Linked DNA regions of Saccharomyces cerevisiae S288C. The gene in region 1 interacts genetically with each later gene. Each region holds a gene or a part of one and is shown on either strand. Other genes may lie near its edges.

Region 1 (8,358 bases):
GGAATGAAAAGGTTATCAAAGCGGCAGGAGACAGGAGGAATAACGCAGGACGAGACCCAAAGATAATATTTCTATAACGAAGTCGTTCGAACCCATCAGATTTCTGCTTTGATTACATACACAAGCTTTGTTTCTTTCTACAGGTGATTGTATGTGGGCTTATGGTATGCCTGCAGGACGCGTATGCATGTACGACGGCACGACCCGGAGCAAAACGGCGAGTGCTCTAACGCGGTGTATGGGCTAGATTCGTAATAGGGCTCTGGGTTTGCTGCAAGGGGTAATTATCAGCGATGGAATGACTCCGTTACCGCCCGACGCTATGTACGCCTTTTCCGCGTGCGCCGGTCTTTACCGGCAGGGGAGAATGTGGTGACGGCGGAGCCGGCGTATGGTGCCTCTACAAAAAATACGAAGTCTCATTTTAGTCACACTGATTTTCATAAGAAATGAGGAAAAAGAAAAGAGATGAAAATTGAGAAAAAAAAAAAAGCATTGTCGGGTAACAAATTATGTAGTGAAGATCAAAGGATATACACACAAACGAAGATGCGCATTAGCCACGTCCATCCCTTTCCCTTTTTCCCTTTCTACTCCGTTTTTACAATAATGTACGTTATAAAACAAGCGGCTGAAGAACAAGTTGGGAATAAATGTCAGCAAGGAAGATTGGTGTAAAGTGAAATCAGATAAGCAACTTAATACACAACCTCAAAAAGAAAAAATTACCATGTCATTCATACCTATTGTATGTGGTATGAAGAGTTTCGACTCTTCATACGATACCGTTCCCGGACATCAAAACCTGTATTGCCCGAATTGTCACAATTATAGTGTCGGCCCCATAAAAAGAAAGGAATTTTTCACTATTTGGTTTATACCGTTGGTTCCGGTCTTCTGGGGAAAACAGTTGCACTGCCCCATATGCAATTGGCGACAAGATTTTAAGAATGACGAACAGCTTAATAAAGTCATTCAAGAACAACAAAACTTACGACAAAAGCAGCCCAACTGATAACGAAATAATTTCCTTTTCTTCCTCTTATATATGTATTTATATATATGTGTTCACTATAACCATACATATATTATACAGAAGTATAGACACGATTTTTCCATACGTAACAAATAACATCACGATGCACGAGCACTGTTTCCAATGGAGAACAAGCGAAAGGCGGTAAATGCGCTATGCTGATTGGTGTAGAGCGCGGGCCAATGAGAAGGCCCCACTCTCAGAGGGTGAGGTGCGATTATCGGGGACATGTCTCCGTCGATCGGGCCCACGTCGTCGCACAATATAAATACCATTTGAGTTTTTAATATTAATTTTTCACGACAACCCACTCAAAAAAGTATATATTCACTGTTAGTTATACGGAACATTGCAATACATCTACAAGTCAAAGGAGCCCCTCTATATTATTTATATTTGTCGTTGTTCTTTTTTGTGTGCTCTTTTATACTTCAGAATCATACATTAACATACATATAAGCAAATAGCCATGTCTTCCAACGCCCAAGTCAAAACCCCATTACCTCCAGCCCCAGCTCCAAAGAAGGAATCTAACTTTTTGATTGATTTCTTAATGGGTGGTGTCAGTGCCGCTGTCGCCAAAACTGCTGCATCTCCCATCGAAAGAGTTAAACTTTTGATCCAAAACCAAGATGAAATGTTAAAACAAGGTACTTTGGACAGAAAATACGCAGGTATCTTAGACTGTTTCAAGAGAACCGCTACACAGGAAGGTGTTATCTCATTCTGGAGAGGTAACACTGCTAACGTTATCCGTTATTTCCCCACTCAAGCTTTGAATTTCGCCTTCAAGGACAAGATCAAGGCCATGTTTGGTTTCAAGAAGGAAGAAGGTTACGCCAAATGGTTTGCCGGTAACTTGGCATCTGGTGGTGCTGCTGGTGCCTTGTCATTACTATTTGTTTACTCTTTGGATTATGCAAGAACTAGATTGGCTGCTGACTCCAAGTCCTCTAAAAAGGGTGGTGCTCGTCAATTCAACGGTTTGATCGATGTCTACAAGAAGACCTTAAAATCTGATGGTGTTGCTGGTCTTTACAGAGGTTTCTTACCTTCTGTCGTTGGTATTGTTGTCTACAGAGGTCTATACTTCGGTATGTACGATTCTTTGAAGCCTCTATTGTTGACTGGTTCTTTGGAAGGTTCATTCTTGGCTTCATTCTTGTTGGGTTGGGTTGTTACTACTGGTGCTTCTACATGTTCTTACCCATTGGATACCGTTAGAAGAAGAATGATGATGACCTCCGGTCAAGCTGTTAAGTACGACGGTGCCTTTGACTGTTTGAGGAAGATTGTTGCTGCTGAAGGTGTTGGTTCTCTATTCAAGGGTTGTGGTGCTAACATCTTAAGAGGTGTCGCAGGTGCTGGTGTTATCTCAATGTACGACCAACTGCAAATGATCTTGTTTGGTAAGAAGTTCAAATAAGTCTAATCTGGCTTGATTCTTAATCTAAATTCTTTCTCACATTTTCCTTTTTTTCTTCTTTGGATTTTTGGTGTTTAATGAGTGACACGATTTGTTTTGATAATATTATTATCCTCCTATTTTTTTAGAAATTCTTTTCAACAAGAATCAAAGATTCATAAAAAAAGAAAACGATGAAATTTTTTGAACAACTTTTACGTATAAAGAAGAAAAAAAAAAAATTCTAAATATCCAGTAAATAGTTTTATATTAGTAGTATTCTTTCCCACTTTTTAAATGTCATCACATGATGTTTCTTATAAAATGCAATTTTTTTATTACTTAATCACCGCCAAATAGGTCTATCACTCTTTGTGCCGGTGGCAGTACTTTGCTTAAGGTTACTGGACAATGAACCACTTGTCTTACTTTTAACCAACCGAGTCTTTACATTTGTGTGTTCCTTGGATTTTGCAGAGGTTCCTGACGATAAGTTGTTCATAGACGTCGACCTAGAGAACGTTGTTTGCTTGTAAAGTCTATCAAAAACGGAAACTGAATTCTTCAATTGCGAATTTGTTCCTTGCGCAACTGGCGTGCGTTCTACCGGTTTGGTTTTGGCGTGTAAATCTCTTATTGATATCGATCTGTGTACTTTAGATCTTGGTATCGATGAAGCTGTCGAAGAGGAGGATGTATTACGGTGAGCGGAATTGATCTTGTTCAAAGAATTCGTAGTGGGCATTAGAAAGTTTGGTTTGTGCATAAATGGCTTGGGCTTTGACAATGGTGTGTTCTTTATTGAATTAATGTTAGAATTTGCTTGCATAGATCTCGCTCTAGCCACTATGTCATTACCATTAACCAATGAGTTCCGTAATTTCAATCTTCGTATTCTTCTTGTGATATCGTTTACCACTGGTGTAGTGTATGGAATTGAGCGGGACGGTCTCGACCTTTTCATCGAATCCGATCGATCCTGTGGGATTGCATGTTGTGACTTTCTCTTGGGCGTATGTAAAAGGGTATAATGTGTGTCTAGCGACTCCATCTGGCCAAATTGAGAGTCGTGCTTTGCTTGGAAGAACTCATTAATATTATACGAGCCCGATTTTGGTTCATTGTTCTTGTCGCCGTTGTATTGTTGTTCGGATTGATCTTTTAAAAATTCAAATTTTGAGCTAGCTCTAGAATCCAGTTCACTTAATACAGAATTTCCTAATCTTTTGGAAACGCCAATAGTCTCGATGATATTGCTATTGTTATTTGAATGAAAGTCTATACTCATATGCGGCGGCGTGAAACCATTAATTTGTGAAGTGGTGTCTTTTTCGTTATGCTCTTCTTGGAGTTTATCATTCATCCATGAAGATAATATGTGTTCTAGAGCTGTAATTGCATGTTTATTGTTTATTTGTTTATACCATTGCCTAGAAACTTACGATTTTTTCATGTTATTTTCCCCTTCCCTCTCTGTGCCTCTAGCCGGCGATGCGCGAAATGTTTAAAGCAAGAATTTCGATAGTAATAAAGAAAATACAACGGCTTTATTGAGTATTTATAAAACGTTTTTTTTTAATTCAAAATACATATACATGAATAAATATATACATATTGAATCATTTTTTTCCCTTTAATAAAAATACAGTTTAAACTAGTAATGATGCAACATTATTCGTTAAGATGATAGTTTGTTTTGTCTGTGTGGGACGTGCGCACGCACACGTATATACTACGACTGCTCCTCTTTGTTATCATGATTCTCTTGAGGTTCTTCCTTCTCTTCCAAGAAAGAAGCAGAATCAGAGCGTTCAGTAACAACAGTGGCATCTCCTTCGGCAGCTTCCAATTTTCTCTTGTAGTTTTCACGTTTCTCAATTTCAGTATTCAGGTTCTTCAAAAGCATGGACTCAGCAAGTTTGACATTCTTAGGAAATTTACTTGTGATTATGAATTTTCTAAAATTTTCGTCTTTATCATCGTCATCCTTCCTTTCCACGACAATATTGGTTTTTGTGAAAGTTTTCAAATTCTTAATTCTGTTCATTCCACGGCCAATAATGGCGCCTACATACAGTTCTGGAATCTTCAATTCGATCCTAGTGTTAGATGAGGTAGAAGGGGAAGTTGGCTCACCGGAGGACTTTTTCAGATGAGGGAAATAAGATCTTTCTGTGCTGAATCTGACGTCAACGTCACTCAAGATGATCTCGCTAATTTCGATAAGTACATTGGTGATGGATCCTGGGAAACCCTGGATCTCGATAATTCTCTCGTCGCTAGCAGGTAAGAAGTCCTTGGAAGCCACGATCTTAACGCCGTGCTTATTGATCAGGGACTTGATGGTGGCGCCTGCTTTCCCGATAATCGATGAGATATGGGAATTGGCCACAATGAGCCTCACATAACCGATGTCCTCCAGTTGCTGCAGATCTCTGATCTCGTCCTTTGAGGGAGCTGGTAAAATATGGTTCAAAAAGTGGAAGTAGTAGTGCTCTTCCGCTTCGCCCTCAGCTGCGTCCTCATTTTCGGGATTCCGTTTGTTAAGCACGTCAACAATATCACCAATGGCATTGGCCACATTGATTACGTTCCCAGCACAGGACAGGATCCTGTCAGAGCAACCGGGCACCTTTTCAGAAATACCGATCTTGACGGCGTTTGCAGCTCTTATGCGTGAGATGGTGGAGCCCTTAGTGCCAATGATCTTGGCAGCCTCTTTCAATGACAGCAAAAGCCTGTGATTGATGGTGGGTTGAGCGGTGGTGCCAACAACGGGGGCGCCGCCAGTGGCGGCGCTGCCGGCATCACTGGAGCCGCCGTTGGTATTGTTTGTGGGAATTGCAACGGGAGTAGCAGCTTCGAAGAACTGTGACATGGCTGGTATATATACTAATGCTGTCTCTAAGTTACCCGATAAGTTGATGCTTTGTTGTACAGGGGACGCGCGATAGGAGTGGGGAGCAATATGCTTTTACTTCGTATGCCAAGTAGTTATATATGCTCGGGTACTTATGCTCCAGATTATAGTCTTGTTTGTTGTTTGGCTGAGCGGCCGGACACACAGAAAAAAAACAAAAGGGCTTTCGTTAAAAGGGATAGGGTAATGTCTAGACTTAGCATAGGGCTAAAACAGAAATAGTAGGGTCTATACCGTTTTTGAAAACAAGTTGTGTAGGGTGAGACTTTTTCTTTTTCCTTTGAGTTTTTCTTTTTCTTTTTACGATTTGTCAGAAATTAGTCGGACGCTCTTGTGGGGTGAGCGCCAGCGCCGCTATAGTATATATAAAGAAGTTGCTGTGCTGGCGTGGACAATAATTGAGTCATTACAAAAAGTGGCGTACATAAAACTACAACAAACCTACAGGATGACCATAGATAACTACGACAACAGTAAACAGGATAGCAGCAAATACGAGGTTAGTGGTACGGGTGATGGCAGGAACGGCGATGGCGGCTTGCCTCTAGTACAATGTGTCGCAAGAGCTCGTATCCCAACCACACAGGGTCCGGATATCTTTTTACATCTTTACAGTAACAACAGGGACAACAAGGAACATCTAGCCATTGTGTTTGGTGAAGACATACGGTCGCGCTCGCTATTCCGTAGAAGACAGTGCGAGACGCAACAAGATAGAATGATCAGGGGCGCTTATATTGGCAAACTGTATCCCGGCAGAACTGTGGCAGACGAAGACGATAGACTCGGATTAGCTCTGGAGTTTGATGATAGTACAGGTGAGTTATTAGCTTCCAAAGCCACTACATGGGACGCCCATAACGACACGCTGGTACGGATCCATTCTGAATGTTACACCGGTGAAAACGCATGGAGCGCCCGTTGTGATTGTGGTGAACAATTCGATAGGGCCGGTAGGCTTATCGCTTGCGACCACGAACCCACAAGCAACATCAAAGGTGGAAACGGCCATGGTGTTATCGTGTATCTAAGACAAGAGGGTCGTGGCATCGGGTTAGGTGAGAAACTCAAGGCCTACAACCTGCAAGACTTAGGTGCTGACACAGTGCAGGCCAACTTAATGCTGAAACATCCCGTGGATGCTAGGGACTTCTCGCTGGGTAAGGCTATTTTGCTGGATCTTGGCATCGGTAATGTCAGGCTGCTGACAAATAACCCGGAAAAGATAAAACAGGTAGATCATGCGCCTTACCTTAAGTGCGTTGAACGAGTGCCTATGGTACCCATACACTGGACAAACTCCAGTGAAGGCATAGACTCCAAGGAGATAGAAGGTTATCTCAGGACCAAGATAGAAAGAATGGGTCATTTACTAACGGAGCCTCTGAAACTTCATACAAACCCTCAACCTACTGAGACAAGTGAAGCCCAAAACCAAAACCGTATGAACTCTGCGTTGTCATCAACATCGACGCTGGCAATATAAACACAAGTGTAGCATAATTATTAGTACATATAGTGCTTTTTTTGTAATGAAACGAAAATACCATGTTATTTTAATGCGTTACCCCGTCGGCGCGTATTGGCGCATTAACATCTTTATAGAAAATCAAATTATTTACTTATTTATTCTAAAACGCTAAACATCTATTTATTTACATTTGAGGTTGAAACTTCCCTTCATCCGATTGACAGGCATATTTAGCGGTAATTATTAGGGTTTTTGGAGAGACCTTGTATTCTTCAGAAATAATGTCGTCCTTCAACAATGAGACCAATAATAACAGCAACACTAATACACATCCAGACGATTCCTTCCCTTTGTATACCGTATTCAAGGACGAGTCTGTACCCATCGAGGAAAAAATGGCACTGCTTACACGGTTCAAAGGACATGTAAAAAAGGAACTAGTTAACGAATCGTCGATCCAAGCTTATTTCGCTGCGTTACTGTTCATCTCCGGCCATTACGCTTACCGTTCGTACCCGCGGTTAATCTTCCTATCACATTCCTCGCTTTGTTACCTTATCAAACGTGTGGCCATGCAGTCTCCAGTACAATTCAATGACACTCTAGTTGAGCAATTACTAAACCACTTAATTTTCGAGTTGCCTAATGAGAAGAAATTTTGGCTGGCTTCCATTAAAGCCATTGAAGCCATTTATTTGGTTAATCCATCGAAGATCCAAGCTATTCTAGCAAATTTCTTGCGAAGACCAAGTGAAAACCAAAACGGAGATTACCTGAATAGGATAAAATCTACATTATTGACCATCGATGAGTTGATCCAGATCAACGAGAAAAATAATTCAAATCATTTGCAACTACTGAGGTTTTTCATGCTGTCTTTCACCAACCTTTTAAATAACAACCTAAATGAACACGCAAACGATGATAACAATAATGTAATAATAGAGCTTATTTTCGATATAATGTACAAGTATTTGAAAATGGATGACGAAAATTCACAGGATCTGATAGATGGATTTATTAACGATTTAGAAGTTGAGAAATTCAAGCAAAAATTCATAAGTTTAGCAAAGTCACAGGACCAGCATGGTTCACAAGAAGATAAATCGACCTTGTTTGACGAAGAGTACGAGTTTCAATTACTATTAGCCGAAGCGAAATTGCCGCAGTTATCAAACAACTTGAGCAGTAAAGACCCAGCGATGAAAAAAAACTATGAGTCTTTGAACCAATTACAACAAGACTTGGAGAATTTGTTGGCACCGTTCCAAAGTGTAAAGGAAACAGAACAAAATTGGAAGCTAAGGCAATCAAATATAATTGAATTAGACAACATTATATCCGGCAACATTCCCAAAGATAATCCAGAGGAATTTGTCACTGTAATAAAGGAGGTGCAGTTGATTGAGTTGATTTCAAGAGCTACCTCGTCGTTGAGGACAACGTTATCATTAACTGCATTACTTTTCCTCAAGAGGCTAATCCATATCCTAAACGATCAGTTGCCCCTATCAATATTGGACCAA
Region 2 (8,405 bases), on another chromosome or scaffold:
ATATCAATTTGGAGCAATATTGTTCTAGTTTTTTTAGGAATAACCTTGTCAAGAAATCTGGAAATCCCTTACCTGTAATGAGCATGGTATTTGTACTCAACTTGTGATAATTATTTACTAATTTGGTGAAGACAGCTTCTTTTTCCACTATTACAATATTACACATACTTGTTGTCCCTAACTTGATGACCGCATCATCTTGGAAAAATGGAATTAGACAGGGCTTACCAGGGAAAATTGTTTGCTTTTGCATCTTTGGTTCATTTTCACATGTCAGAATATTGTCATAAATATCAATGGGGAAAGGCGAATAAACTAAACCCTTTTGAGCTGGTATAATGTTTAAGGATTTTCTTGGAGAGAGCTTGAAATTAAAGCGTATAACGTCCAGCCACTGGACTACGTTTGCTTGTCTTTGAAACAATTCCACGTTGGAGTAGAAGATATCTCTCACTGTAGTGTTTTTACCTAGCGGTAATTTTTCCATAACGACTTTCAATAAGTTTAAAAGGATTGCGCATCTTTTCAACTTGAACTGATGAGTGCATAGATGCGGGCCATTCAAAGGGAAGTCCAATGTTGTGTGAATGTCAGGACTGCTTGTATCGCCTTTTTTTTTTTTGTTTTGAAAGACGATTGAAATAGGCTGTTGATGTTGCTCTAATGAATTAGCCGCCAATGACAGGAAATGCTTAATATGAGCCAAAACATCTGCGTTTGAACAGGGAGTTCCGTTGGAGTGACCATTGGAGTTCAAGTGAATGGACCGTCTTTTAGGAGTGAGTGCTTTGACCAATTCCTGCCTTGTTTTATATTTTTTCCGCAATCCCTCCAAAGCCATGAGAAGGTGAACTTAGTAAATCGTAAAATCTTAAGGGTGAAGACAAATATGTGAGGTTATTTGAATGATATTTAGTTGGATATAATCACTAAATAAAGTAGATTTTCCTTGGGTAGTAGACTTTCTTTTACGTTATTCCTTTTATAATTTTAATTTTAGTTATTGATTTCAATGAAACAAAAGGAAACTGACGGCTTCTTAAAATAAATATATTTAACATGAAACATTAAAAAAAAAATTGTCACTACACAGAGAGAAAATAAATAAATATAAAGAATCACATAACTATGCTGAAAAAATGAAGTTATTTGTCATGAGGAAACTTCTCTTCCAAGAACTTTAATTTACTCTTGAAAGTATCAGAATCGAAATAGCAACCCTTTAACCATTGCTGGTTTGAGCTTGTTAAAGAGTTAGCATGCAAAATTCTCCTGTTGTTAAAGATAACACAACAGTTTTCGGGCAACTGCAATCTAAATTGATTGTTGAAGTCATTGATATGACTCTCGAACAAGTTCAACCCCCTAATGAAAGACTTAAACAAAAATCTCTCTGTTAGTTTTGCTGGGGTGGTAATTAAATTCAAGTCCAGATTATTATTTAGATCTGAGGGCTTATCATAAATTCCGAAAGTGAAAGGTGCTTGGTATGGTGGAGAGTAGTTAATGCATTTAATCAAGGCCTCATAATTACCCAGAAGAGTATTGTCCTCGTTAATGTCGTGATGTTCGATTAAAGGTTTGGATTGGTAGTACCTCTTATCGCCGTTTTCATATATATAATTTACAGGAACAATTTGTAAAGCCTCATAAGCCTCAAAATCCGATTCTCTAACATTACGGGTAGCATAAAATGCGTCCACGAAGTAATTCATGGGTCTAGTATTGGGATCTTCCCCTTCTGTAGCAGGTAGAGATTGTAGAATCTGGAAACCTGGCACATTTTCTAAAAATGGTAAATCCGTATGTAGCGGCAAGTCTTTATTGGCATAATGGGCATTAACACTTGTCGCTTGGGATGCATTCACGTCAAATGTACCTTCACCATGTACAGTCGATCTTATGGGTCCGATCCTTTCACAGATCTTTTGTATGGTAAGGCCTTCAGAGGAGGATGAAGGAGTACCGGAAATGAAAGCGATACCAAACTTTTGTAGGTTGACCAGCGTTTGGAAAAGCTTGGAGTCATCCTTAGGATCAATAAACTCGTTGTAGCTCACAGAAAGTAAGTCCTTGACGTTATCTTTCAGGATGCGCTTATTCCATAACTGGGGTCTATATCTGGATTCTTGTTTTCTTGTTGCTGGCGAAACAAAACTGGAACCTTTATAGTCGATAAAGAATTGTAAAGGGAACTGGTGATGACCGCCATCTTTCCATTTCACCACTAGAGATTTTCCGTCCTCAGAAATTTGAATGTCCTGAGGAGCGGTCAATTTCTCGTTATGATACAGTTCTCCCGTGGTCACCAGCTTGGCACTATGGGAGGCATCTCTAAGAAAAACGTTGTTAAAGCAAACGGAAACCGGCTTGCTGGACTCCTCCATGGAGAACGTAATTGTCGTAGAATCTCTATTGAAGTATGTTTTGATGATATGTCCCCGATTCGCAGCCGCAGCTGTCGCCGCAGATGTGTATGTCCTTGGTGTAGTGGTCAGTCTTGCAAGGATTCGAGATCCTCTGCATAAATTTGATCTTAGCATCTTGTGTTGGTAATTGGTTTCTAATAATTATTTTTTCTTTTTAACTTGGAATATGTTCCTGGCCAGTTGTGAAGAGTTACCCCTGATATTTGGATCTAGAAGGGCTTCTCCTTATATAGATAGCACTTTTCCTCGAGGATCAACCCCGGAAATGTATTCCCGACCCCCTTACGGCTGCGCAAAGGTCCTTACTGAGCCATTCAAAGGTAAAGAGGGTCCGATAATAATGGTAGTTCAAAAGGGGAGAAGCGGGGCTGGTACAATATCACGATTATGATTATGATTATGATTATGATTATGATTATGGATATTATATAAACTATATTATTCCGTATAATATTATTACTGGTGGTAATGCATGAAAGACCTCAATCTGTCTCGGTTAGTCCTTGCTATCCACGTTGTCCTGAGAGGGCTTTACGTAATTGCCATCCTTCTGCTGTTGCTGCCTGTACTGTTGCTGCTGTTGCAAGAAACGCTCCCTGATCATTTCTTTTACCTCCTGTTTCTGCTTCACCCATTCTTCAGCCTTGCCCAACGTGGAGTCGACTACGCCCATGACATTTCTCACCATTTCCAGGGATTCTTTGGCGAGAATGAGTACTTTCCCATTCGCAGTTACGGAGGAGGACGGCGAGGCTGAGTCGTCGCCATCCTTGTTCCTTTTTTGCTGTTGCTGTTGCAGGAGTTGCTGCTGCAAAAGTTGCTGCTGCTGCTGCTGTTGCTGTTGCTGTTGCTGTTGCTCCACTTTTTGTTCTTCACAGTTGGCATAATGAAACGAAGCATGATGCGGCAGTGATGTACTGTGGACGCTGTCGAACCAATTTGTGGGTAAGTTTAGAAGACTTTCCCGAACCTGAGATCTTGCGGGCTCCGGCAGCGAATTTGCTGTGAACTTCGATATCAGCGAGTAGACTTTCTTGACTGTGCCGACCACCTCCATTTTCACCACAATAGACTGCTCGCTGGCGTTGACCTGCTCTGAGGCATCAAAAAACTCCTCATCGTCGTCGTCTTCGTCTGACGATGTCTCGTCCTCGCCAGCTCCAGTGGTCGTCCTAGCATTTCCATCTTGCTTGTGCAAAGGATGCACCTGCTCCTTTTCAACAAGGTCCTGTAAACACGAGATTTTATCGGAAAGCTGCTTATTGGCCAGCTTTAAAAGATGCAAGCACGTTACAAGCCTCTTCTTAGACTCGATGGACATGTTCAGCTTGTACTCTTTCAAGTTGTCCTTCCCCTTGGCAATCGCCCGCGACAGCTTCTGTCTCTTGTTGGTGAAGAACTCATCGTCGTTGTAGTCGTAATCATCATGCTCGTCATCGTCATCGTCTAGCAGCCTCCCTATTGATTTCAGTGGCCTCTTGTTGGTGTTTATTTCATCGTAGAATGTCACTACGTTACTGATAATTTTGTTACTTACGCGATCCAAAATGTTTAGCGGCGTCGTAGACGACTCACTTGCCGGCATTTTGTCAGCTTGTGAGACGTCCTCTGAAGGCTGCGACTTCTGTCTGCATGATTGTTTCAACACCCCAAGTACTTCAGCCGCTTCTACCTCTTCCTCTGATAATCCTAAACGTTGATTTTCAGACATCAATGACTAGTATCTTCGTTAAAAACACTGTCCTGATACACACGCTTTAATCAGCACTGTAAACAAAATGCCACGTTCTGGCCTGATATGCTTTCTTGGCTAAGTGCAGATCGCTGTCTTGCTCCAATCCTCTTATTAATCCCTCTCATTGAGGTGGAAAAAAAAAAAATAAGAACGCCCGATTTTACCCGGTTGCATATGAAGATTATAAGGTGCCATCTATATACTAAAACGAACGTACCATTTGTCTATCTATGAGATGTCTGCGTAAGCGTCAAACAATATATGCGTACTCTTCGTCGCTGACGGTCTTGTATCTGACCCAGGGGAAAGACTGGTACTGCAATTGTGGCTCTTCGACCTTCAAGTACTCAACTTTCAGGCCACTGCATGTACAGTACGGAATCTCGAAATCAATGTTGACCAACTTATCTCGAGGAGTAACGTGGGAAGTTTGTTGGTCGTGCACTTGTCTATATAGTTCTTCCAGCCTGGGTCCCGTGCGCAAGGGCGGCGGATTCATTGAGGTTTTCATTTCTTCTTGCAGGCGGTCATATTCTTCCTGGTTGAAGAGGGGGAACTCTGCCACCATGGATGCACACGTATTTGGATCATCTTCGTCGCTGTTGTACTGTGAGCTCTTGTTTGTGCTATGTTCTCGGTGCCCCTTCATGGTTTGTATCTCCCAGAGGAGAAAATCGTCACTCAAGTTAAACACGACCTTGCCGATGTTTGCCTTGAATCTAATTTGCTTGCTGAGGTCTATTTTATATTCCTGGAAGACTTTTGTCAGGGGAATTCTCACGTTTAGCTTCGACGTTGAGTTGGTGGGTTTAAAATTTGTTTGAATTTTGGTTACAATTTGGATTTTAAACTTCTTCAGTTTAGGTTTGATTTCAAAATCTTTCAACCTCACCATCGGCGCATCCTTTACATGTCTCTTCAACTCGTATTGGCAAAGAACAAATTCGCCATCCGGCGGTATAAATTCGATTTCTCTTGCATCTGTGGCGGCCTGCAAACCAGCATCATCGTCACTATTCTTTTCTTCATCTTTTTCAATAGTGTTTATGGAATCTAGTGAAACACACTGATGAAAGCTGGAATTCGACATGAACTGGGGGTCCCTGTTCAGTATCTTGTTTATGGATATTTTCAGTTTGGGCATCCCTGATAAATAGCATCTGCACACAATCTCTCCATGTATCAGATTTTTCCTAATCACTCCTTTTTCAAAATCCATCAAGTACTGAACACGTTCAATAACATCAAGAAAGAACTCGTTTTTGGCGTAATGTATCCCCTTTGTTCTCCATGATATGGGCATTATAATCGTCTTCGCAATATCGCCATTGATGTATAAATCATTACCGTCATTGGGGAGCTCGTCATTAGCGGCTTCTTTACCGGTATCATTCTTGTTCCTTAGTGTCTCCTTGACAGTTTCCACCACGTTTATGCCCCTATTTTCTTTATTGTTTACCATTATACTTTTTAATTTACTTTTGCCCACGCTTTTCCCTTTAGTGCCCTTTTTCTTCTTCCTTTTCTTCTTCTTATCCTTCCTCTTATTAGTATTGCTGTACTCGCTATCGCTATCGCTACCGCTACTACTACTGCTCTCTTCACCAGGGCTCCACTCCTCATTGTCTACTGTAACTCTTGGTACGTTGACCTTCACACGAATGTAGTCCTTGATGATACTTGGATCCGTCACTTGTACGATACCAAAGTCTATACATTCATCAATCAACTCCAGGACAAGTAAGATGTTGTCCAGTATGACATTCTTAGTTAAGACCTCGATTTCAAAATATTTTTGTAAAAGATGATAAAATTGTTCCAAAAAGGCTAGTATAGTCATTAAGTCTATATTTGGTTTGTCTGTGGTATGTATCACTGAAACGAAATGCAGAAAGTCTCTCTTCAAATGTATAAAGAACCAATCGTTTTGGGAGAGAATTGGAGGCGACCCGTCATGATAACATTGTTTGAAACTTGAAAGAACCGACGATAGATTCGGTAGTGCTCTAATATTCTTCGATACCAATGGCTCCAGATTTTCATCCAGGATAAAAAGGCTTGACGACATGCCTTTCCTTCCTGATTTCCTCTTTACTATTTTTGGGTCCCTTTATTTGCTTTTTGTCCAAGGCATTCTCAATTTTCCAATCTGGAATTTAAGCCCTTCCAGTTATAAAACAGTAAACACAACCTACCAAAAGCAGAAAGAAACCAAAGTAAGAATACAATGCACAACAAGATTGTTAGAATCGCGTCCAGTGCACTCACAGGGGGCAAACTACTCGAGAAGCTAAAACCCTTGACCCGTTGGGAAGTTCAATGGGACCCTAATAAGACCAAATGTTTGGGAATAACAAGAGAGGTAACATTCAAGGACTACGAAACCACATGGGCCTTTTTGACTCGTGTATCGATGAGATCTCATCTATGGGGCCACCATCCCCTGATTCACACAAGTTACACCTGGGTCAAGCTGGAACTTCATACGCATGACATAGACCCGAAAGACGGGGCTCACAGCCAGCTTAGCGATATAGACGTCCGGATGGCCAAGAGAATAGATTCCTACATCGATGAGATGACAACTTGATAAGGCAGGGCAGGTCTAAAAGGCTATTGCTCTTTCCATTTTTTTTTTCCTATCGATTTTACTACTAGAAATTTTTGCTACCCATACCCATTCTCGCATTGCAACATGGAAAAACTGAAAATTGAAAAAAAAGGTATTGAAATTTCAACTGTATTGTGTAAATCATTTTTGGGCAAACTAGACACAATAACTAGCGAACAGAAAAATGGATAGAACGTGGCTATTACTGACGTGGCTGTTGCTACTCTGTGGGGTAGTTCAAGGGAACCAAGAAAGCATAAATCAAAAATATCACGATGTCTGTTCAGGGATGTATTCCAAGGAGGATTTCAATGGAAAAGTTGACCCCTATATATCGTTTACGTTGGAGGAATTGTCACTTGCTGATGAAGACGATGATGGCGAGGGGGTTAGTGTTGCTGTGTTTGATTTCCAAGATTATGAGCATATTGGTGTGCGGTTACCAAATGGAGAAATTCAGTATATTTGCGATGACTACGCATTGGATTTGGGCCTCTGTGAGGATTCGTCGGAGGGGCAATTTATCATTCAAGAGACAGCCATCGATCCGTTCACCAGTAAGGAACATAAGCTAACGAGTCAGATTTTGACTTTCACTCAACAAGAATTGGGCACTAACGACAAGGTATACTCAATTAACAAAACTGGTTACTATTGTGTGACCACGTCATCTTTCATTTCTTCCAGTTCCAAGTTTAAGGCTACAGTGAATTTTAGGAACGCTTACGGTCAATTGGACGCTTCAGAGGCGTACAAGATGCCTATTTATGCCTTTTTGGCCGTCGCTTATGCCGTCTGTACATTAGTGTACTCTTGGCTATGCTGGAAGCATAGACATGAGTTACTGCCTTTACAAAGGTACATTTTGGTATTTTGTATTTTCCTAACAGCTGATACTATTTTCGTCTGGATGTACTATATTATTGAGAACCAGAAGGGAAACTCCAGCGTCGCTCTTCATGTCTATATGGTTTTCATATCGATCTTTAGCGCCGGTAAGATGACTTTCACGCTTCTCCTCGCCTTGCTGATATCTCTTGGATATGGTATAGTATATCCAAAACTGGACCGTACATTGCTAAGAAGATGTCAAATATTTGCGATATTTACGTTTGCAGTGTGCGTTGCATTCCTGGTCCAAAAATATTCCCAGAATTCTGAGTCTTTATCCAATTTGATTTTGATTACTGCTATCCCCTTAGTATTATGTCTATTCGCTTTCTATTATTTGACACTGTCTTCAATGAACAAAACAATGACTTATTTGAGGGAACAAAACCAAGTGGTGAAATTAAACATGTACAGAAAACTGATCATATTGTGTTATATTTCGTTGTTTATACTCTTCTTAGGCTTACTAGTCTCTACTTTTGCATACGTCGGTATGGACACTGTTGACATGATAGAACAATATTGGAAAACAGAATTCCTCATCACAGATACTTGGCCTAGTTTCGTTTACTTCTTGGTCTTCGTCATTTTCGCATTCTTCTGGAGACCTACAAGTACATCATATTTACTAGCGTGCTCGCATCAATTACCAACTGACATGGAAAATGTATCAGAATTCGATTTAGATGACATAAATTCCTTGTCTGATGAGGCATTGCCTAATAGAGAGCCACGTAAT
Region 3 (8,973 bases), on another chromosome or scaffold:
ATGAAACATATAAAACGGAATGAGGAATAATCGTAATATTAGTATGTAGAAATATAGATTCCATTTTGAGGATTCCTATATCCTCGAGGAGAACTTCTAGTATATTCTGTATACCTAATATTATAGCCTTTATCAACAATGGAATCCCAACAATTATCTCATCATTTACCCATTTCTCATGTTGTGTACACATTATATACCTCCCAGTTACTGTCAATCCTCTCCTCTTATATCGTTTCAATACAAATAATATATTATGAAGGGCAATATTACATCATTACCCGGAGATATATACTATTTGGAATGATCTTTCTTTATAAGAAAAAAAAAGAATTTCGCAGATTTCCCTGGCTTTCCTTATTCTTCCTACGTTAGCATTATTATGAATTATCGCTAATAGCAAAGGCAAAAAAGATTATCAACTGCAGGATATTCGGTCACAACTTTGACATAGATCTTGAGAACCTCAACACTATTCATTTCTCTGGCCTGATTATTTTAAGTAAAGTCAATCATTGTTAAGTTTTCTTTTGTTCTTTTCTATCATTCTCGCTCTTTCAATTACTTACACCTACAATAATAGACGTTGACCTGTGAAAGGCAAGAAACTTAACTAATAGTATAATTAAGAAGAAGTTAACATTTTACTCTACATTATTGAAACCGCTCACTGACTTCAAAAATAGGATAAAAACATAATATGGAAGGAATTTTGGATTTTTCTAACGACTTAGATATCGCTCTATTAGATCAGGTGGTATCTACATTCTATCAAGGTTCAGGTGTTCAGCAAAAGCAAGCCCAAGAGATTTTGACTAAATTTCAAGATAATCCAGACGCTTGGCAAAAAGCTGACCAAATTCTTCAATTCTCAACTAACCCTCAATCAAAATTTATTGCCCTTTCCATCCTTGATAAATTAATTACTAGAAAATGGAAATTGTTGCCGAATGATCATAGAATTGGAATTAGGAACTTCGTTGTTGGTATGATTATCTCCATGTGCCAAGACGATGAAGTATTTAAAACACAAAAGAACCTGATCAATAAGTCGGACTTGACTTTGGTCCAAATTTTAAAGCAGGAATGGCCTCAGAATTGGCCTGAATTTATCCCAGAACTAATCGGCAGTTCAAGTTCCTCTGTTAATGTTTGTGAAAATAACATGATCGTTTTGAAACTGCTATCCGAAGAAGTCTTCGATTTCTCTGCGGAACAAATGACACAAGCTAAAGCTTTACATTTGAAAAATTCCATGTCAAAAGAATTTGAACAGATTTTTAAATTATGTTTTCAAGTTTTGGAACAAGGTTCTTCAAGCTCTCTAATAGTGGCAACCTTAGAATCTTTACTGAGATATTTACATTGGATTCCTTATCGTTATATTTATGAAACCAATATTTTGGAATTATTAAGCACCAAATTCATGACATCGCCTGATACAAGAGCCATCACATTGAAATGTTTGACTGAGGTTTCAAATCTAAAAATTCCACAAGATAATGATTTGATAAAAAGACAAACTGTACTTTTTTTCCAAAATACTCTACAACAAATTGCCACAAGTGTGATGCCCGTGACTGCCGATCTGAAAGCCACTTATGCAAATGCTAACGGTAATGATCAATCTTTCTTACAAGATTTAGCAATGTTTCTAACTACATATCTCGCTCGTAATAGGGCCCTTCTAGAGAGTGATGAATCGTTAAGAGAGTTGTTGTTGAATGCGCACCAATACTTAATTCAATTATCCAAAATCGAAGAAAGAGAACTATTTAAGACGACATTGGATTACTGGCATAATTTAGTAGCAGATTTGTTTTATGAGGTTCAGCGTTTGCCTGCTACCGAAATGAGCCCATTGATACAGTTATCAGTCGGTTCACAAGCTATCTCAACTGGATCTGGCGCCCTAAATCCGGAATATATGAAAAGATTTCCATTAAAAAAACATATTTACGAAGAAATTTGTTCACAGTTGAGATTGGTCATTATTGAAAATATGGTTAGACCAGAAGAAGTCCTTGTGGTTGAAAATGATGAAGGAGAAATTGTTAGAGAGTTCGTTAAAGAATCAGACACTATCCAATTATACAAATCAGAAAGAGAGGTTCTTGTATATTTGACCCATTTGAATGTTATCGATACAGAAGAAATCATGATCAGTAAATTGGCAAGGCAAATCGATGGTTCCGAATGGTCATGGCATAATATCAACACTTTATCTTGGGCTATTGGTTCCATATCTGGTACAATGAGCGAAGATACTGAAAAAAGGTTTGTAGTTACTGTTATTAAAGATTTACTAGATTTAACGGTCAAGAAAAGGGGTAAAGATAATAAAGCTGTTGTTGCATCGGATATTATGTACGTCGTGGGCCAATATCCTAGATTTTTGAAGGCTCACTGGAATTTTCTAAGAACAGTTATTTTGAAACTTTTTGAATTTATGCATGAAACTCATGAGGGTGTTCAGGATATGGCATGTGACACATTCATTAAGATTGTTCAAAAATGTAAATATCATTTTGTTATTCAACAACCCCGTGAGTCTGAGCCTTTCATCCAAACAATAATTAGGGATATTCAAAAGACAACTGCTGACCTACAGCCGCAACAGGTCCATACATTTTACAAGGCTTGTGGTATTATTATTTCTGAAGAAAGAAGCGTAGCGGAGAGAAATAGATTATTAAGTGATTTGATGCAACTGCCAAATATGGCTTGGGACACTATAGTGGAACAATCCACTGCTAACCCAACATTGTTGTTAGATTCTGAAACTGTCAAAATTATTGCGAATATTATAAAAACCAATGTAGCTGTCTGCACCTCAATGGGAGCAGATTTCTATCCACAGTTGGGTCACATCTATTACAATATGCTTCAGCTATACAGAGCTGTTTCTTCGATGATTTCTGCTCAAGTTGCCGCAGAAGGTCTAATTGCTACGAAGACACCAAAGGTTCGTGGTTTGAGAACCATCAAAAAAGAGATTCTGAAGCTTGTTGAGACCTATATATCCAAGGCGAGAAATTTGGATGATGTCGTTAAAGTGTTAGTTGAGCCATTATTGAACGCTGTACTTGAAGACTATATGAACAACGTTCCTGATGCAAGGGACGCCGAAGTGCTAAATTGTATGACAACAGTAGTAGAAAAGGTTGGTCATATGATCCCACAAGGTGTTATTTTAATTTTACAGAGTGTATTTGAATGCACTTTGGACATGATTAACAAAGACTTCACAGAATATCCAGAGCATCGTGTAGAATTTTACAAGTTATTGAAGGTCATCAATGAGAAATCATTTGCTGCATTTTTGGAACTACCTCCGGCTGCCTTTAAATTGTTTGTTGACGCTATTTGTTGGGCGTTCAAACATAACAATAGAGATGTCGAAGTTAATGGTCTACAGATTGCATTAGACCTAGTGAAAAACATTGAAAGAATGGGAAATGTCCCATTTGCAAATGAGTTCCACAAGAATTATTTTTTCATTTTTGTCAGTGAAACGTTTTTTGTTTTAACCGATTCCGACCACAAATCCGGTTTTTCTAAGCAAGCTTTGTTACTAATGAAGTTGATTTCTTTGGTTTATGATAACAAGATTTCGGTACCATTATATCAAGAAGCTGAGGTACCACAAGGAACTTCAAATCAAGTCTACTTAAGCCAATATTTGGCTAATATGTTAAGTAATGCATTCCCCCATTTAACATCCGAACAAATCGCAAGTTTTCTCTCTGCATTAACTAAACAATACAAAGACTTAGTGGTCTTCAAAGGCACTTTGAGGGACTTTTTGGTGCAAATCAAAGAAGTCGGAGGTGATCCAACAGATTATTTGTTTGCTGAAGATAAAGAGAATGCATTAATGGAACAGAATAGACTAGAGAGGGAAAAAGCTGCCAAGATTGGTGGGTTATTAAAACCTTCCGAACTTGATGATTAGAGGCGGTGGCGTATCATTCTTTAAATTTCCAATATTTTTTCCCTTTTATTAACTAGTCTCTAATTTATAACCACGGGGTTTTCATTTCTTTTTCACTTCATATTGTATGTAAATTGGTTCTTCAAAGTTCCAATACTCTAATATAGTACTAAATACTATTTAGCCAACTTCATGGAAAAGTAAAGAATATTATTTGAAGATTCTTAAGTGATTACCCATTTTATTGTTATTATTGATGTATGTACATGATTGTAGTAAAATACTTATACGCCTTATGCTCAAGTTTTTTTGATTGCATCTTGAATTTTAACGAAACTGTTTTTGGGCCCAGCCACAGAGCCTTTAACCCAAATAACATTATTTTCATCGTCGACTTTCAAAACTTTAACATTTTGGATAGTAACATGCTCGTTTCCCATATGACCAGGCATCTTTCTTCCTGGCAGTACCCTACCTGGGTCTTGGTTTTGACCATAAGAACCACCGTGTCTATGCATAATAGATGTACCATGAGATGCTCTCAAACCCTTGAATCCATACCTTTTCATCACACCAGTAAAACCTTTGCCTTTGCTGACTGATCTGACGTCAACATATTGGCCTTCTTTGAAAAAAGAGGGTTTCAATAATGTGCCAGGTGGTATTAATCCCTTTTCATCTTTAACTCGGAATTCGGCCACATGCTCTTTTGGGTTAACAACTTTAGAAGCGAAATGACCAAGCATTTGTCTGCTAACTTTAGACAAATGCCTTGATCCGTACCCTACTTGACACGCGAAGTACCCATTGACCTCCGAAGTTCTATGCATTATTACTTCAACATTATTAACTTCTAATATAGTAGCGGCGCTTCTTTCACCAGTAGATTTATCAAAATAAGGCATCATTCCCTTCTTACGAGTAATTAAACCGCATCTTTTTGGTAGCCATTTTCTCGCATTTGCCAGTTCAGGTGAGTGATTAATCGCTGGAGCCTCGGTTGTTATACTGTTAGCAATACTAGGAGCCACTAGAAAAGGCCGAGTAGAAGAATATCTAACATGAAGTTTTGATATGCTAAATATTGATCCCTGTAGGAACTTCGACATGGCTATATTTGTTCTCTCTTGCTTTCAAAGAGTTGCCCTTTCTCGTCCCAGTTGTCAATTTATCGTCCATATATTTTTCAATAAAGTTCGTTTGACAAGGGATTACCCGAAAACAAATATCTCGCGACTGTAATAGGAGAAATGGCATTAGCATTTCAATTAAGGAAAGAAGAGGATCATCGAGAAACGAATTTATGGTGCTTATTTACTGTTACAACATTTCATGATTTTGAATTTTATTTATACATGTACATTCTCGTACGGTGTTATTTCGTAATTATGGGATGTGCCCAGTTGCTTCCTTAAGTCTTCCGTAGAAGCTTTAAAAGGTAAGATTTCCCCCACACTAGGAGGCTGCAAGATGTCAGTGTCATCCAATAACCCACTAACACGGAAATTTATTGCATTTGACAACGTTGACGGCGGTTGTGATAAAGAAGATGATGTTGTAGTGGATGAGTTACCAGGGAGATATTGGGCCTTTATTAAATTTCTTAAAGATCCTGCAGGCTTATAGCGAGGTTTCATAGAAAGTTCTGATGGGTTGGTCATAACAACACTTTGTCTAAGCTGATATGGAAGGGGCGTACAAAATTGCTTTGTCAAAGATGTTGACGGTATTTTCGTAGGCGAACTGTAAAACATTTCAGGATGATCCATTGGATTCAACGCTGTCCCATTAAGCCTAGCTGTAGGTACATGTTTTAGTGTTTTTGGAGGTTTAGGCCTTCCTTTGAATGACGTCAAGGAATGCGAAGAGGTGGAATAAATGAATTGGGTAGGCGTGGGCAAATCTCCGATGTTCTCATAATTTTGAGGATGTTCTAACGGGAGGGGATAATTATAGTAGTAATTGTCATCATTGCTCTGGTTGCAGTGATCTATAAAATATGTAGAATATTGCTGAGCAGAAGTAAGATTTGACTGACCCGAACCCTCCGAAAGGGCCCGTACGGGAGCCTTTGCAGAGTGAATATGGTCCTTAGCGACCGTGTCAGAATATATTGATGAGGTAATTCTCGTTGAAAGACCATTCGGTGGTGGGAATGTAAGAGATAGAGACGATTCGGGAATCACTTTTTCTCTGGTTGCTACTTCTGAATATACTGACGATGCAATGTTTTTATTCTCTTGTGGTGCCGGCACTTGCAGATAATCAGTTGCATCTTCATATTCCTCATTGGCGCTGGAACTGGAATCAATTTCTTGGACAGTTGTACTTCCGAAGTGACTCTGTTCAATTAATGTAGTATCATTTGGATTGTCTTGAGAGCTCATATTTACACTTTTTCTTGTAGCGATGTTTAATTTAGAGTCACGCCGTATCGAAGAAGTTACAGAGGATCGTATCGTGCTATTACTTTTCTCAAAATAAATGTTATAAATGCTTCTTATTCTGTCAATATTTTCTTCCTCCTCTCTCGAACACTGAGGCTCGAGCCCGCTACGACTCGTATAATTCGATTTAAGTCGATTATCGTTGTTATGGCTGGACTTTTCATTTACATCAGGATTTGACGTACTATCACATCTTTGATCACAGTCTTGCCCAGTATTTGAGTGTTGTGGTGAAACAATCAGCTCAGAATTCTCTAACGATTCGAAAGAAATCTTATTCGAAAGGTCAATGTGCTTGGAGGGGACCGATAACTTGCTGTTATTCTGCGAAGCCAGTGAAGCAATATTATAAGCGGAGGGTGCATGCTCATTGATACGCCTCACATAATCTTTGAAAGATTGTGAGTTTTCGATTGACGGTTGCAAAAAATCGTCATAACCACCATAAATAAACCTCTTTTCTGTGGCATTGCTGTCTGAGTTTGCAGAATTCATAGAAGAATCCATCTTCGGTAAATAGTATAAATCGCCCTCAAAATTTGGGTCAAAATCCTGCATAGAAGGTTCTTTTTTGCATCTCCTATATACTACTATTAAAACGACGGATAGTACTATAATAATAGCACCAATGGGAACAGCAACGGCCACTGCAACAGTGACGTTAGATGAATCGGTTCTTTTCTGAAGAAATGTCAGTGATACGCGAGATTTGTCTGGTATAGCCTCTCTTTTTTGGCAAGAATTTTCTTTATAGCGGTAGTGACTAAACATGGACGCTTTATAGCATCTAAAGTAGGGGAAGCACTATTTCTCACTTGCAGTTACTATGAAGTATATTTCGATCGCACAAGTTGCTTTACTATGCTATTGCAGCCTAAGATAAAGGCAACAACCGATGAAACAAGAGTAAAGGGTATACTCTTTTATGCAAATGCTCCTTTACGCGACTGGTCATTATTGAACATCGAACACTTTCGAATAGTTTAGTCTCAAATGTATCGAACGCGAAACTTTAAAAGCGCATTCTTGTTCTTTTTTCGCGACTTGCTCCTGTGATCGTCTTATTTCTGCTCCATATTATCTATTCTTTACTTAAAGCTTCCTAAAAATGCAGTCAGGATAAAAGCAAATGCTTCAATGGAGTTAATATATATACCGAAACAAGAAAATGAGTTCTATATATTTGTTCCATGGACTCATGAATCAAATTTGTAGAAAAATAAAATAGAAAAGATAAACGCCCTCCTTACTCATTGAGAAAAAGGGCAGAAAAGTTCCAAAAAATATGGCAAGCCCACAGTAACGGACAGCTTTACCTGTTTCTATGGAGACAACACCCGGATGGTTCTGGTAAAAGGCAAGAACCATGTTCGTTATAAGTTCTATAGGCAATAAAAGGCCCACAGTTCTTGATGTTGACCTCCCTCCGCCATTGATCTGTAAAGCTGCTTGCAGGTTTTAAAACAAAAAGAAAGAAAAGTATTTTAAAATATATAGGAGGAAAGAAACATTTAACAAAAAGTCTTACTATGCGCTTTTTATACTGAGCACTCCGTTTCTACAAAATTTTCAATTTTTTTTTTCATATTCGTTAATCGTGATGAGAATACTAACACCACGAACTCAAATAGGAAGTTAACAATTTAGGGTAGGAGTGCCAGACTCTACCCATTATCCCTTTGTCATCGATGTAAAGCAGATATGAAGGCTTCTAGTAAAGCTATTAAATTAGTACTGGACCATCTGAAGTCCACGGGAAGAGTTCTTGGCTCCGTAGAGTCAGGAAATTCAGCAACAATAAGTGAGAAAACGGCATCTGTTAATAAGCAGCAGCAGTTGCAGGAAAAGAAACCTTCTGTCCTACAATATAGAAGCTACAATCCATATTTAGTTAAGGAGGATTTCCTGTCAATTCTGCCAGAAAATTTGTATAAAAAGAGGGGACAATTTACAAATGAGCTTGACTTTCAGTTGATGAAAGTCAGGGACCCTAAATACTTCCAGTTCAAGGATCAGTATTACTTGTTTTTTAATGATTATAACTCGCTTACTGAGTATATCAAATTAACAAAACACTCGCGAATAAACAAGATCAGGGTGAAAATGACGCCATTGGCGCAACCCTTGCCAACCCTGTTAACAAAATTACAAAGATATTCAAAAAATCTATATAACGCATTCCGATCATCTGAGCAATATTTTGAGGGACTAAACGAAAAAGTCGATGTTAGTGGAGAGTTCACTACCAATCAGTTACGGAGTATCCTTGATTCGGTGGAAGAAATAGAAAATAAGTCCGTATTAGTCTGGAATATACCCACTAAATTACGGTCGCACGATATATTGAATTATTTTTGGTTTTACAACATAAGGTCTAGCTTCAAGATATACTGGGATGATGAAATGAAAAGAAATCTACGATTTATATCTTTCGAAAACTCGCATGACGCCTACCGCTTTAAAAGAAACTATCATGGATTATTGGCTAAAGAGCTATTGACCCTGTCAGAAAAGGGAGATGCAGCTGACTATTCGCTCGAAATGGACGATTCCAAAATATTAATTGAACATCTTAGTGAATGAATAACTTGA

What was found.
Region 2: mutations in SHE1 (region 1) and OPI1 together harm fitness more than expected from each alone (negative genetic interaction), as found in Saccharomyces cerevisiae (2 studies listed by BioGRID).
Region 3: mutations in SHE1 (region 1) and TOS2 together harm fitness more than expected from each alone (negative genetic interaction), as found in Saccharomyces cerevisiae (2 studies listed by BioGRID).

Annotation. Positions count from the first base shown.
Region 1 is NC_001134.8:157,145-165,502, reverse strand, and holds SHE1 (She1p), read right to left. Parts: upstream 3,805-8,358; coding exon 2,788-3,804; downstream 1-2,787. Other genes in the region: YBL029C-A (uncharacterized protein), read left to right, coding at 731-1,015; ADP/ATP carrier protein PET9, read left to right, coding at 1,506-2,462; HEK2 (Hek2p), read right to left, coding at 4,174-5,319; RIB1 (GTP cyclohydrolase II), read left to right, coding at 5,810-6,847; STU1 (Stu1p), read left to right, coding at 7,114-8,358.
Region 2 is NC_001140.6:63,317-71,721, forward strand, and holds OPI1 (transcriptional regulator OPI1), read right to left. Parts: upstream 4,141-8,405; coding exon 2,926-4,140; downstream 1-2,925. Other genes in the region: SPO11 (DNA topoisomerase (ATP-hydrolyzing)), read right to left, coding at 1-841; AIM17 (Aim17p), read right to left, coding at 1,146-2,543; APM2 (Apm2p), read right to left, coding at 4,415-6,232; MCO14 (4a-hydroxytetrahydrobiopterin dehydratase), read left to right, coding at 6,392-6,754; YHL017W (uncharacterized protein), read left to right, coding at 6,960-8,405. UniProt on the Saccharomyces cerevisiae protein: Negative regulator of the transcriptional complex INO2-INO4 in response to phospholipid precursor availability.
Region 3 is NC_001139.9:931,841-940,813, forward strand, and holds TOS2 (Tos2p), read right to left. Parts: upstream 7,153-8,973; coding exon 5,284-7,152; downstream 1-5,283. Other genes in the region: exportin CRM1, read left to right, coding at 701-3,955; mitochondrial 54S ribosomal protein uL3m MRPL9, read right to left, coding at 4,234-5,043; PET54 (Pet54p), read left to right, coding at 8,083-8,964. UniProt on the Saccharomyces cerevisiae protein: Seems to be involved in the anchoring of CDC24 to the membrane of polarized growth sites.